Linked DNA regions of Elephas maximus indicus. The protein of the gene in region 1 purifies or fractionates together with the protein of each later gene. This does not show direct contact. Links are inferred from orthologs where the notes say so. Each region holds a gene or a part of one and is shown on either strand. Other genes may lie near its edges.

Evidence for each region. The genes of interacting proteins can lie anywhere in the genome.
Region 2: the proteins of CAPZB (region 1) and KIAA1671 purify together in Homo sapiens (co-immunoprecipitation; 3 studies listed by BioGRID and IntAct, with this or other methods). This does not show direct contact. The link is inferred for Elephas maximus indicus from reciprocal best matches to the Homo sapiens genes CAPZB and KIAA1671.

What each region holds. Positions count from the first base shown.
Region 1 is NC_064821.1:59,057,066-59,064,050, forward strand, and holds the start of CAPZB (F-actin-capping protein subunit beta), read right to left. Parts: upstream 3,060-6,985; 5' UTR 2,957-3,059; coding exon 2,954-2,956; intron 1-2,953. UniProt on the Homo sapiens protein: F-actin-capping proteins bind in a Ca(2+)-independent manner to the fast growing ends of actin filaments (barbed end) thereby blocking the exchange of subunits at these ends.
Region 2 is NC_064840.1:31,707,326-31,714,835, reverse strand, and holds the start of KIAA1671 (uncharacterized protein KIAA1671 homolog), read left to right. Parts: upstream 1-4,438; 5' UTR 4,439-7,510.

The DNA.
Region 1 (6,985 bases):
GAATTCATTCCAAAGTCAAATGCATTTCAGATTACCAAACTGCTATGTCCCCCCATGGAAAACTGAGATCTAGCTGTTTTCTTTACTGTCAAATCTAGTAAAAATATAAACTTCCATGGTCTTAAGACATTTATCTATGATGCAACCCCACGCCACCACTTCCGTGCTAACCCAGGTGTCTACCCTGGTTTATTAGTCAGGGTATTTAAGCAGGGCATAAAAACGGACAATAATCAAGAAATTATTTACAAGCCTAGGGGATACTAAAAACAAGATACGAGAATCCGTGTGAAAGTCAAGAGACCAAGTTCATGGACACAGACACATTCCAAAACACAGCACTGCAAGACATTTGCTTCAGTGCCAGATGCCATCCTAGGCCCTGGAGATATAGCTATGGAAAACACAAGACAAAAATCACTGCCCTCAAAGACCTCACATTCTTGCCCAAGCTAAATGTATCTGCATTGCCATACTATTAAATAAGATCTTCTATGCAAAGGACCTAGCACACAGTCGGTAGTCAATAAATACTACTCCTCCCTTCCCATCTCTGGGTATCCCATTGTTAGGGTTTTTAAACAGTGCCATTTATATGTTTCACATAGGCAGCCTGGTGCAATGGGAGGAACTCAGTTTGGAGCTTGCCAGATGCGCTTCCTCTGACTGCCCGTGGCTTTTCCACTGACCAGGCAACACCTTGAATAAGTTACTTTACCCCCAAGCCTCAGTTTCTTCACCTGTAAAATGGGACAGCAACTACCCCAAAGGGCGCTGTGTGGATTACACAGGTTCATATAAGTGAGGCAAGCAGCATGATGTCTGGTACCCAGTAGGCCCCCAATAAACATTAGTCCTTTTCTCTCATCTCTTCCATAGTCTTTTCAGATTGTCCAAATGAGAGCCAAATACAGAACTCTTCAGGAGCCTGTTGTGCTGTCACGCTCCTCCTGGGTCATTATAGGCACTACCCCATCAAATCCCATCAAAATCAGGCACCCAGGAGGCCAAGGCCAGATGCCCCTCCCTCCCGGGGCCTGATAGGCTGCCTCTGTAGCCCCACCTCTCCACTTGACGCTCCATCTACCCTCTCCTGCTTTTGCCCTGGGAGCACACTTACAAAACTTCAGTCTGCTTTGAAACTCCTCACCCCAAAACTGTCCTGGAGAAATCCTTGCCCACCCAGGCCCAGGGCTAGGTTCACCTCCCATGCAGCCAGCTCTGGGTCAGAGCTACAGGAGAAGTTCAGTGGCATTAAAAATGACACCGGCCATGTTTTTAATCCGTATACAGGAATGCAGGAAGAAAATCCTTGGCCAAGCTGAATTAGTCACCCTAATTCAGCAGCAACATCCCTTGATTAAACAAGGAACCAGGATCCTCAAACCCCTTGGGGCCCAAAGTCCAGACACAAGCATTCGCCCTGCACTGGGTGAGAGGAACCCCACAGCAGGGCCCTGATGCAGCAGGTGGATGGGCTCAGCTCAGTCAGCCCCATCTGCGCAGGTTCTCTGACTATGTGGAGCAGAAACCCTCTGGCCCTTCCAGCCTGGATGCTGGGCCTGCCCTACATAAGGTTCCAAAGTGGAGTGGGGAGACTCCCATCTGAGGGCCCCTAGGGACCTGTGTGAAACCCCAGGCCTGTCAAATCAGCCAGACAGCAGCACCTGCCTTCATTACCAAAACAACCACCACGAGTGGAGTTCTCTCCAGCTCCATCTAGCTCACCTGATCCGAGGCACCTCCATAATCAGCAGTTCCAACCCTCACAAGCTGACAGTTCAGGGGGAAAGGGAGGCTGCGCCTGCTAGGGTGCATCGTGTCCAGGCCTTATGTGGGGCTCAGGTCCTAGCGGCCCCCCAAAGGCTAAGGCCTCACAAGGGCAATTGTGTGCTCATCTCTGTCCTGTCAGCTCCCCTACACTCAGCCCTCCCCTCCCACTCATGCTCTCACTCCGTGGGAACCCGGCGCCCCGCAGGACACTCCTCAGGCACCGCACCCGCTGCACGAAGGGTGGGGATGGCCCACAACGCGCTGCGCTGCCTTCCGGGCACACAGATGCCCGCCCTTCCCTTGCTCGCTCCCAGGCGGCCTCCCCAGAAGGGGCAACCCTCAACCTGAGAAGGCACAGCACTGGTACCACCACCACCCTGGTTTGAGAGCTCCCCTCGCTCCCATGCCAGAAGAGAGACAGCTGGGAAGGTTCGCTCTAGGCATGGGGGAGTGAGCCACTGGGTCAAGGGGCAGGGCAGGGAGCAGGGCCCTGGTGGCAGAGTAAAGTTGGAGAGCGCAGGCCCAGGCTGCGCTAAGACCGGCAGCAAGAGGGGAAGGGTGGCATAAATGGGAGGTACGGTCCAGGCGGAGTCCATGAAGGAGGGGAGGTCCAGACTTAAGGCTACGGGAGAGGAAAGAAGGTTCAGAATGAGACCATGGAGGAGAGGGGGAACAAATCTGAGCTAAGGCCACAGGCGGGAGGTGGGAAGTGACGGAGCTCCAGGCCGGGACCATGGAGAGGGGAACAGAGTGCAGTGGGGAGCAGGGGCCTAGTATGGGCCGTAAGTGAGGAAAGGAGTACCTAGCCCGGGCCAAGGGGAGGGAAAGAAGGACCACGCCTGGGACACTGGAGGGGGTGCCTGGCCTGGACCACGGATGAAGGGGGGTCTAGCCTGGGCTATGGGGGAGACTAGCCTGACCCAGAGGTGGAGAGTGGGGCTCCAGCTTGAGCCAAGGGCGGGAGCAGAGAGGGAGAGACAGGGTCACTGACCACCCAAGCCGCCCGGGCCAGCGGCCCCCTCCTGAGCGGGGAAGGATGGTGTCTGCCTACAGCCCAGGACCCCGCCCCTCCCCCACCCCCGGGAACCCACCCTTCACTGGCCGGGGGTCCGCGGGGGGAGGGGAACGCGAGTGCCGGCGGGGCCCCCGGGGCTGGAGGAGGGTGACGTCGAGCCTTTACCATGGTGGCGGCGGCGGCGGCAGCGGTCCCGGTCCCGGCGTTTCTGGCTCTCCCCCCCGCAGTAGGGCCCGGCGCTTCCACTTCCCCGGGTGCCCAGGAGTGAACATCCGGGTCAGCGCCCCCTCCCCCCGCGCCGGGCCGCCGCCACCTTCCTTCCCCGCCCCGGCCCCGGGCCGGGCCCGCCCCCCACGCAGCCAGGTCTCGGCCAATGAACGCGCAGGGCCGCTGCGATCGCCAAGTATGGAGCGCGGCGCGGAGGGAGGGGCGTCGAATGGGGAAGTAAGGGGCGGGGCCTGCGCGGCGGGGCGGGGCGCGGTGGCCGAGCCGGCTAAGTAGGCGGGGTGGGGGCTGGGGCTGGGGTTGGGGCTGGCGCCGGGGCCAGGCTAGGGGGGGTCCTTCGGCGAGCTGCAGGCCGAAGCGGATGGCTCTGTGCCTGCCTGCAGAAGCGGGTGGCAGCAGAGGAGCCGTGCCCGCGGGCGTCCCGGGCGGAGATGCGGAAGGCGCTGGACTTGGGAGGGGACAGCCCTCCCCGACCCACTGCGTGCATCGCTCACGCCTGCGATGGACCCGGAACTGGTGCCGACTCAGGGGCAGCCCAACCCCGAGAGAGAGTTTTAGGAGGAGCGGTGGCTACGAGCTTGGGCTCTGGATGGAACCCGGGGTGTAATCTCAGCCCTGCCCCGCCACTCCTGGCTACGTGTGGGTCTTGGAGCAAGCCACTGCACCTGAGCCCGGTCTCTAAAAAAGAGCCTCCAGTCACACCATTTATTGCATACCTGCCATATACCAGGCCCTCTTTTAGGCACCAAAAGATAACTGACAGGTGAATCAGACATGAAGGTCACTGCCTTCATAGCTGCCTACTACAGGGTAGTTGTGAGGACGATACAGGTCAAGAGAAAACTGGGCTCCGTAAATGTGAGGTGTTACGAGTACCTTCAGATGTGCTACAAAGAACCAACCCATTGCCTGATAAGGCTGCCTCACTCCACAGAGTAACTCAGGAATTCTTTTTTTTAAATCTCCTCCTTCAACAAATATTTGTTAAGCTTGGTCTGGAAGGCAAGAGACCAGGAATGCTAGTCCTGCTAATAATACCCCTCCCCCTGCCTTGCTGGCTCTTTGTTGAGAATCAAATCAGGTCACATGTGAGAGGACTGTAAAGTGTTGCACAAATGACAGCAACTATTACCATGAGCCAAACCCTTTCCTAGGCCCCTGTCCTCAGGAAGGTCACAGTCCACAGAGATAAATCCCACAAGAATATTATAGACAGGCAGTACAGAAATTTAGAGAAGAGAATTTGTTGTTAAGTGCCTTCGAGTCAGTTCTGACTCATAGCAACCCTGTGCACAACAGCACGAAACACTGCCTGGTCCTGAGCCACCCTAAAATCGTTGTTATGCTTGAGCTCATTGTTGAAGCCAGTGTGTCATCCACCTCACTGAGGGTCTTCCTCTTTTCTACTGACCCTGTACTTTGCCAAGCGTGACGTCCTTCTCCAGGAACTGATCCCGCCTGACAGCACGTCCAAAGTGTGTAAGACACAGTCTCCCCAGGCCTGCTTCTAAGGAGCATTCTGGCTGTACTTCTTCCAATACAGGTTTGTTCGTTCTTTTGGCAGTCCATGGTATATTCAATATTCACCAACACCGCAATTCAAAGGCGTCAATTCTTCCCTCTTCCTTGTTCATTGTCCAGCTTTCACATGCATATGATGTGATTGAAAATACCATGGCTTGGGTTAGGTGCACCTTATTCTTCAAGGCAAAGAGAAGAATATCTTTGCTTTTCAACACTTTAAAGAGGTCCTTTGCAGCAGATTTACCTAACGCGATGCGTCATTTGATTTCTCCACTGCTGCTTCTGTGGGTGTTGATTGTGGATCCAAGTAAAATGAAATCCTCGATAACTTCAATCTTTTCTCCATTTATCATGATGTTGCTCACTGGTCCAGTTGTGAGGATTTTTGTTTTCTTTATGTCAAGGTGCAATCCCTACTGAAGACTGTGGTCTTTGACCTTCCTTATGAAGTGCTTAAAGTTCTTTTCACATTCAGCGAGCAAGGTTGTATTGTCTGCATAACCCAGGTTGTTAATAAATCCTCCTCCAATCCTTATGCCCCATTCTTCTTAGTCTAGTCCAGCTTCTCAGATTATTTGCTCAGCATACAAATTAAATAAGTATGGTGAAAAGATACAACCCTGATGTACACCTTTCCTGACTTTAAACCAATCAGTATCCCCTTGTTCTGTCCAAACGACTGCCTCTTGGTCTATGTAAAGGTTCCTCATGAGCACAATTAAGTGTTCTAGAATTCCCATTCTTGACAATGTTATCCATAATTTGTTATTGAATGCCTTTGCATAGTCAATAAAACACAGGTAAACATCCTTTTGATACTCTCTGCTTTCAGCCAGGATCCATGTGACATCAGCAGTGATATCCCTGGTTCCATGTCTTCTGAAACCAGCCTGAATTTCTGGCAGTTCCCTGTTGATACACTGCTGCAGCCACTTTTGAATGATCTTCAGCAAAATTTTGCTTGCTGTGATATTAATGATATTGTTCTATAATTTCTGCATTCAGTTGGATCACCTTTCTTGGGAATAGGCATAAATATGGATCTCTTCCAGTCAGTTGGCCAGGAAGCTGTCTTACATATTTCTTGGCATAGACGAGTGGTTAGTGGCAATAGCACTTAACTACTATGCTGCCAGGGTTTCCAGGGCACATAGTAGGTTCTCAATAAATATTTGTTGAATGAGAGGGTTTTGAAGTGCCGTTCCCTCACATGTCTGTCAGTTTCTTGTACTGTGGGGGCTTACGTGTTGCTGTGATGCTGGAAGCTATGCCACCAGTATTCAGATACCAGCAGGGTTACCCGTGGAGGACAGGTTTCAGCTGAACTTCCAAACTATGACAGCCTAGGAAGAAGGACCCGGCAGTCAACAAATATTTATTGAGAACCTACTATGTGCCCTGGAAATCCAGTTAGCATAGTGATTAAGTGCTATTGCCGCTAATCAAAAGGTCAGCAGTTCTAATCCACCAGGCACTCCTTGGAAACTCTATGGGGCAGTTCTACTCTGTCCTATAGGGTCGCTATGAGTCGGAATCAACTGGACAGAAATGGATTTGGTTTGTGTTTTTTTTTTACTATGTGCTCTGGTGGCACAGTGGTTAAGAGATCCACAGCTAACCAAAAGGTTGGCAGTTCGAATCCACCAGCTACTTCCTGGAAACTCTATGGGTCAGTTCTACTCTGTCCTATAGGGTCACTATGAGTCAGAATCTACTTGACGGCAACGGGTTTGCTTTGGTTTTTTTAACGTGCCAATGTGGGAATACAGCAGTGAAGAAACATTCCATGTTGTCTTGGAGCTTAAATGTTGCCGAGGAGAGAGACAATCAGCTAACAATTACATATAGCATGTCAGGTGGTATCTTCGTCATCTAATGCTGTTAGTACAGAAATACCACAAGTGGATGGCTTTGACAAAGAGAAATGTATTCTCTCACAGTCTAAGAGGCTAGAAGTTTGAATTCAGGGTACCAGCTCCAAAGGAAGGTTTTGTCTCTCACTCAGCTCTGGGGACAGATCCGTGTCATCAGTCTTCACTGGTGAAGGAGCTTCTCAGCACAGGGACTCTGGGCTCAAAGGACACACTATCTTCCTGGCTCTTGTTTCTTGATGGTTTAAGGTACCCATGTCTCCCTGCTCACTTCTCTCTTTTATATCTCAAAAGAGATTGACTTAAAAAGCAACCTGATCTTGTAGATTGAGTCCTGCCTCATTAACATAACTGCCACTAATTCCACCTCATTAACATCATAGAGGTAGGATTTACAACACATGGGAAAATCAAGATCAAGATGGCAGACTGGAGGACAATAATGGGAATCCTACCCTAGCCAAGTGGACACATATTTTCGGGGGACACAATTCAATCCATAACAGAGTGAGACGGGCAGCCAGCCGCTAGATGGCGAATGGAAGGAGCTAAGCCACCATTTTCCCTTCTTCATGGC
Region 2 (7,510 bases), on another chromosome or scaffold:
TGCCTTAAATAGAAAATAACAGTAAGATTAAATACAATGAATATTTTTAAAATCTATTACTGCTGCTACTGTTGTGACTAGTGGTCTAAGCTTGAGACTGTTTTCTCTCTCTTAAATTTGGAGGTGAGCAGGTAATGGAGATGTAGGTGTTAAAGGCAAAGAAGCACCAAGCCAAGACTGTCTTGGGACGTCAACAGAAGACTCCCATGAGAATGAGAAAGAAAACAGCTGCACCCAATGTCATTCAAGGCTGAGCCTGGATATCAAGGCATCCTCACGGTTACCTAACACCATCCTGTGTCCCACATGGGCTGCCTCCCACATCAGAGGAATCCAGCACTATCCCAATCTGCCTTGTCTGTGCCAGGTGTGAGTAGGTTCTGTGAAGGGAAACTCAGAGAGGAGGGGTTTATGCCTTGGATAGGATGGGGGCAGGGCTGTAAATCTTGCAATGGGAAGACACTTGGGCTCATATCTCATACACGGTGTTATGATCGGGTAAATTGCTGAGGAAGGTTGGACGTCACTTTGGGCTGGAAAATCAGCATATGCTTCCTGGAGAAGGTGACATTTAAGCTGTCCTAAAAGGATAGGTATGTTCCTGGGTGTGGCAAACGTTTAAGCGCTTGACTGCTAACCGAAAGGTTGAAGGTTCAAGTCCACCCAGAGGTACTATAGAAGAAAGGTCTGGTGATCTACTTCTGAAAAATTAGCCATTGGAGACCGTAAGGAGCAGGGTCCTACTTTGACACATATGGGGTCTCCATGAGTCAGAATCTATATGATGGTAAGTTTTTTTTTTTTTATAAGGATGGGTGGGATTTGGGCATATGGAAATTGTGGTGTGGGCAAAGGGCTACCCACAAAGAAGAAACAGGATGAAAAACACACTAAAATCCTGGGACCCATTTGGGAAATTGGGTGTGTGTTCAGGGCCTACCGTGTAGACCAGGATTAGGTTTTGGGGGAGAGAGGACTTGGATACCTTGTCCAAGGCAATGGGCAATGGGAGCCATTGATGGTTTTAGAGGTGGGGAGTGATGTGATGAGACAGGCTTTGAGCTCTGCACATAAGGCAGTTCTTGGGCCAACAGAAGCTAATTCCTTCAGAAATTCATTTGCACTTGAAGGGAATTATTTCTTTCTGGAATGCAATATGCCCTTTTTAGACTCCCTAAAGGGAGAGCATGTTGTATTCACCTGTTACTGAGCCAAGCATTGTACCTGGCATACAGCAGGTGCTTACAGACTGTGTGTTGAATTGAGTTTAGGGGTTGAGTTCCACCTGCAGTGAACATCAGTTCCTGGCTGGTCTTCCTTCTGGCTCGCTCTTCCAACGCCAGACCTGTCCAGGGACTCTGGGCTGGCCCCAAACTTACTCTTTCTGTGAGCTACTCTAATTGGCCTTGGAAGCCTTGTGGTCAAGTTTATTATGATCATGCCATAAACCAGGGCCAGTAAAGTTTCAAGGGAAGACAAGGCCAGCCAAGTGTCCTGGTTTATTGCTCACGAGACACCTTTATTGGGTCTGCCCCAGGGGAGAGGTTGAGAACTCTGGCCTCCGAAGCTTTGAGTTGAGTCAGCATGGGACGTGCTTCCTTTAGGTGCAAAGGTCCATTCGGGATATAACAAAAACTTTTTAAAAAGTTGTACACCCTTGAACCAGCGAGCTCACTTCTAGGCAATGTTTATCTTGAGAAAATAATTACATGTGGATGTTCACTGCAGTGTTGGTTATAATGGTGAATAATTCAGAACAATTTAAAGATCCAGTACTAAAACAAACAAACAAAAAAAACCCAAATTCGTTGCCATCCATTTGATTCCGACTCATAATGACCCTATGGGACAAAGTAGAACTGCCCCAGAGGGTTTCCAAGGAGCGGCTGGTGGATTTGAGCTGCCTACTTTTTTTTTTCACCTTTTGTTTAGCAGCCGTAGCTCTTAACTACTGCATCATCAGGGCCCTGATCCTGTACTAGAGGGTAGGTGATTTGTGTAATTGATGTCGTTGTTAGGTGCCATTGGGTCAATTCCAACTCATAGTGACCCCATGTGACAGAGTAGAACTGCCGCATAGGGTTTTCTAGGCTATAATCTTTACGGGAGTAGATCTCCCAGGACTTTCTCCTGTGGAGCTGCTGGGGGGGTTCGAACTGACAACCCTTTGGTTAGCAGCTGAGTGCTTAACAGTTGCGCCAACAGGCCACCTTCCTATGCAATTGTCTCTAATATACCCACTCCTCGCTTAATTTTTTTTTTTCTTCACTTATTGACAGTTTTAGTTAGGTTCAAAAGACCAGGTTGTTAAGTGGAAACCAACGTTATATGAAAATGGAGGATGACTATATCATTACATAACTGCCAAATTTCATCATTACATAACTGCCAAGCCACTGAGAATCATGGCCCAGCCAAGCCGACACATAACCTTAACCCTCATACCCAGCATTACTCTTGCTTCATACCTTGGTGTTCGTTACTGCCAGACATACATTGTTGATGCACAAAATAGATAGTAGATTTTTTACTATTGGAAATGCAAAATGTCAGATAACAAGATAGTCAGTTAGCGAAGAGTCAGTGTAGAGTCCTATATAAGCATTAGAGTCTGTTGTATAGCTATTGACATGAAGGATGTTCATGATATATATTTAAAAATAAAATAAAAAGAGTATATGGTCTAATTCTATTTTAGTTTTGGCAGAAAGTTCCCATTTACATTGGCAGATGTCCCGGTTGACATATATCAGAATGGTAATAGTGGTTGTTGGCTCTGGATGGTGGGATTTAGGGTTATTAAAAAAACTTTTGTTCATATGTATTTCTGTATTTTAAAATTTTTTTGTACTTACCATGTAGGGCAATTGAAGAGGCCTAGTGAAGCTACAGAGTCGCTATGAGCAGAATCAACATGAAAGCAAAGGGTTTTTTGTTGTTGTTGTTTAGTGAAGGGGTGGAGTCCTGGTGGCTCAATGGTTAAGCACTTGGATGCCAACCTAAACGTTGGCAGTTCGAACCCACCATCCTATCTGCAGGAGACCAAAAACCAAAACCAAACCCAGTGCCGTTGAGTCAATTCCAACTCATAGCGATCCTATAGGACAGAGTAGAACTGCCCCCATAGAATTTCCAAGGAGTGCCTGGTGGATTCGAACTGCTGACCGTTTGGTTAGCAGCCGTAGCACTTAACCACTACGCCACCAGGGTTTCCTCTGCAGAAGAGACCTGAAAATCTGCTGCAAATATTACAGCGTAGGAAACCCTAGGGGTCAGTTCTACTCTGTCCTATAGTTTCGTTGTGAGTCGGAAGTGACTTGATGGCACACAACAACAGCAGTGAAGGGGTGGGTCTCAGCCAGAATACTGTAAGGGCTTTGGATGCATAGGAGTCCCTGGGTAGTGTAAATGGTTAACACAGTTGGCTGCTAACCAGAAGGTTGGTGGTTCGAGTCCACCAAGGTACCTCAGAAGAAAGGCCTGGCAATCTACTTCAGAAAAATCAGCCATTGAAAACACTATGGAGCACAGTTCTACTCTGACATACATGGAATTGCTGTGAGTCAGAATCAACTCTACGACAACTGATTTTAGATAAAAAGGGGGCTGTCACGTCCTTGAGGAAGTCTAGTCTCTTAGGCAACTGAGTTCTCCACAACTTAGCACCAGGGTCGGCAAACTTTTCTGTAATTATCTGCCAGAGAAAAACTAATTTTTATTATAAATACTTTAGGCTTTTTATTATAAATAAGTATTTTAGGCTTTATGGGTCGTATGGTCACTGTCACAAATGCTCAACCCTGTTGTAGTACCTTGAAAGCAGCCACAGACAGTGCACAAATAAATGAGTGAGGCTGTGTTTCAATAAAACTTCATTTACAAAAATAGGAAATGGGCCAGATTTGGCCTGTGGGCCACAGTTTGCCAATCCCTGATCTAGAAAAAAACAGTAACAAAAAAGCAGCTTGATTTTCTTAGTGAGTGCTCCAGCCAGTTCAAAAACAGCATAAACAGTAGGAAGGGGCACACCAATGAAAACTGAAAAGGCGGATGTTTAAAGAGATCTTGGCAAAAAGATAATGTTGTCACCTTCCTCTTCCAAATGGGTGGTTGCACCTGGGAAAAGGGCATTGGGCCGAAGCAATCTGGATTTTGCTTTGGCATTTCTAAAATGCAAAAATCTTGTTTAAAAAGCACCTGTTGAACCCAGTGTTCCCCCAAATCTCTTAACCATAGGACCCATTTGTGGGTGTGAATGTGACCTACCCACCTCTTTTTCCTTGGGGAAAAGCCACCTCCAGCTGTCCCTGTGGATTCTAGAAGTCTGAAATGTCAGAGGTGTGCTGAGCTTGAATGAGGAGGCCGTTTACCTGAAATTAAAAACCAAAAAAAAAAAAAAAAAAGCCTTTGCGGTTGAATCGATTCTGCCTCATGGCGACCCCATGTGTTACAGAGTAGAACTGTGCTCCATAGGGTTTTCAGTGGCTGTAATCTTGACAGGAGAAGCCCCGGTGGTGCAGTGGTTAAGCACTCGGCTGCTAACTGAAAGGTTGCCGGTTCAAACCCATTAGCCGCTCTGAGGGATAAACATGTGTCAGTCTACTTCTGTAGAGATTTACAGCCTTGGAAACCCTATGGGGCAGTCCCACCCTCTCCTGCAGGGTTGCTATGTGTTGAAATCAACTGGACGGCAATGGGTTCTTTTTTAAAATCTTTACAGAAGCAGATCGCCAGACCTTTCTTCTGCCGTGCTGCTGAATGGGTTTAAACCACCATCCGTTTGGTTAGCAGTCGGGTGCAAACGGTTTGTGCTGTGCTGAAATCAAGACTATGCTAATTAAGGCAATTCTTAACAGAAGTATTAAAACTCAGGAAGAAACTTGGCTCTCACCACTTCTCCTGCCGGCAAAGGAATTTCATTTAGTCTCTCAGCAAACCTTTTTGAGCACCAGCTGTTTATAAGGAATCATGAAGGATGTAGAAGATTTAGTTGTGTCTCAGAATACAGAAAGTGGGACTCCAGAGCCTGGCTCAGAGCCATAGTAGATAGATAGAATACAAAGCACATAGTAGTATATAGTAGGTACTCAATAATTGTGTATTGGAATGAATGAAGAAATGAAGAAATGACCTAGGACCACTGCCATGGGGACAGAGAGGATGCACTCCAACAGCATTTGACATTTCGGTGGGGCACTTCCCATGAGTGGCAGGGTGGCGGGGCAGCAGAGTCATATCTAAAGGATGGCAGGTATGGCATATGCCTTGGGCTCCACTTGAAGGGGAAGCGCCAGTGAGCAGTTTAATTTGGCCTTCACGGTTTCTACTGCCAGCTGTGAGAGATCATTCAGCAATTTAAAACTAATTGCCGTAGGCCTACTTTTCATAGATGTGCTTCTGTTTAGACCCATCTGTGGCCGCTGGGCGGACAGACCATACGCGTGTACTGCAGCCCTGCTCTTGTAGAAGGACAAGCACATGGGTTTTGCCTGTCCACTCTTGCCCCTTCACACAGTGCACCCCACGGGATAGATTTGCAGATTTAAGGGCTGAGGTCACATTCCAGAAGGTGCTGGAAGGTGTCAGGATAGGCCCACACCCATCACCAGATGGTGGCATTCCCAGGGTATGGTACCCGGAGATGACTGAGTGAATGGTTGCCGAGCGCCCAGATCGGATCTAAGGCTGTAATTATGAAAGATCGTCAGCAGCTGTTCGAATGAATCAAAGCCTCCCAGTCTGGGAGAAAAGCTGCCAGACTGCTAGGTTTTGAATGGAAGTGCTTCCCTTGCCTTCTACCTCTGTGGGCCTCTCGGATTTCCTAGGAGACTGTGAGCTCCGTGGCTGTTGCCCTCAGCACCCAGCACCCAACCTGGCATTTGACAGGTAGGCAATCCGTGTTTGTGGAAGGAGCATTGGAAGGATGGACAGGTGAATACTTTCAAATGTCTCCTGTCTGATTTCAGTAACTGTTGCTCTTGGCGACTCCCTTCCCAGGAAAATGGTTTTCTCTGCATGAAATTGCAGGAAATGGGAATTTCAAAGTTTACAAATCAATTTAGGGAGATCGAGCTTGAGGACTTGGCGGGTTCAGCAGCAGCAGAGAAAGACCCATTGCTACTGTCACTGCTTGAGGTCAGACTGATGTAGTCTCGTTCTTTACTGATGTCCGCTACGGCTTCCTGGCCTTCCAGGTGGACACCTTGCTTCCTGTCTGCTGCCCATTGCTGACCTCCGTAATAAATGTTAAAAAATAATACAATTAGAGATTGCTCAGATCAGTTTCCCTTCTTTCTTCAGCCAGTCCCAGGGAGCTCTTGTTTACCTTGCTTTGGCCATGTTGTTGTGCCGTCAGTGCCATCGGTTTGGTTCCAATCTGTGGTGACCCCGTGTGTTACAGAGCAGAACTGTTCCATAGCAGTTTCTTGTCTGTAATCTTTATGGGAGCAGATTGCCAGGCCTTTCTTTCATAGCACTGCTGGGTGGGTTTGAACCACCAACTGTTCGGTTACCAACCAACTGCAAACCATTTGTGCCACCTAGGGCCCATGGCTTCAGACATAGTGCTCAGCTAATTTAGAAAGAGTGAATGAGGCTACCCCAGGAATAGCAAGCAGCTGGCCTCTGTGTGCCTGGGCTTCTGAAATGTTTTGGAAGAGACCCACGTCTCTTAAATCAAGCATAGCATATGTGATCCATTTAAAGTGAGGTTTAAAGCCTATATTTAAATTGGTTGCCTTTTACAACAGGTTAAGTAAAAATCGGAGAATCGAGGGCTTCTGGGTTTGGGAAGGACTTGAAAATATTATTTAGCCATCCACTATCATAGCTTAGAAACTCTTTTACCTTCGTTCATTGATGTATTAATTAATTCACCGCACCATTCATCAAACCATATTGACATATCAGGCATTTGCCAGGCATTTAAAATTAAAACTGGCGAGGAAGCACAGGATATTAAACAGATTACAGACAACAGAGGCACTACTCTGGTAAAGAGAAGTGCCTACCAAGAACCTTGCTTTCTCTTCTCTCTCGTCTTGCCCTTCCCTGTGGGATGGCCCCTAAGGCAGATCCAAGGAAGCCAACCCATTGCCATCAAGTTGATTCCGACTCACAGCAACCCTATAAGACAGAGTAGAACTGCCCCATAGAGTTTCCAAGGGTGTAATCTTTATGGAAGCAGACAACCACATCTTTCTCCCATGGTGGGCCTGTGTGTGTGTGAGCGAGAGGGGTGTTCCAGAGAGCAGGCGCAGCCCGTGCAAGGCCCTGCAGAGGTGTTTGAGGACATACTGCTGCTGCTGCTGTTGTTAGTTGCTATCAAGTCAATTCCTACTAATGGCCCCCCACGTGTGCAGAGCAGAACTGTGCTCTGTAAGGTTTTCAGTGGTTGTGACCTTTTGGAAGGAGATTTCCAGGCCTTTCTTCTGAGGCTCTTCTGGGTAGGTTCGAGCCACCAACCCTTTGGCTAGTAGTAGAGTGCTTAACCATTTGCACCACCCGGGAC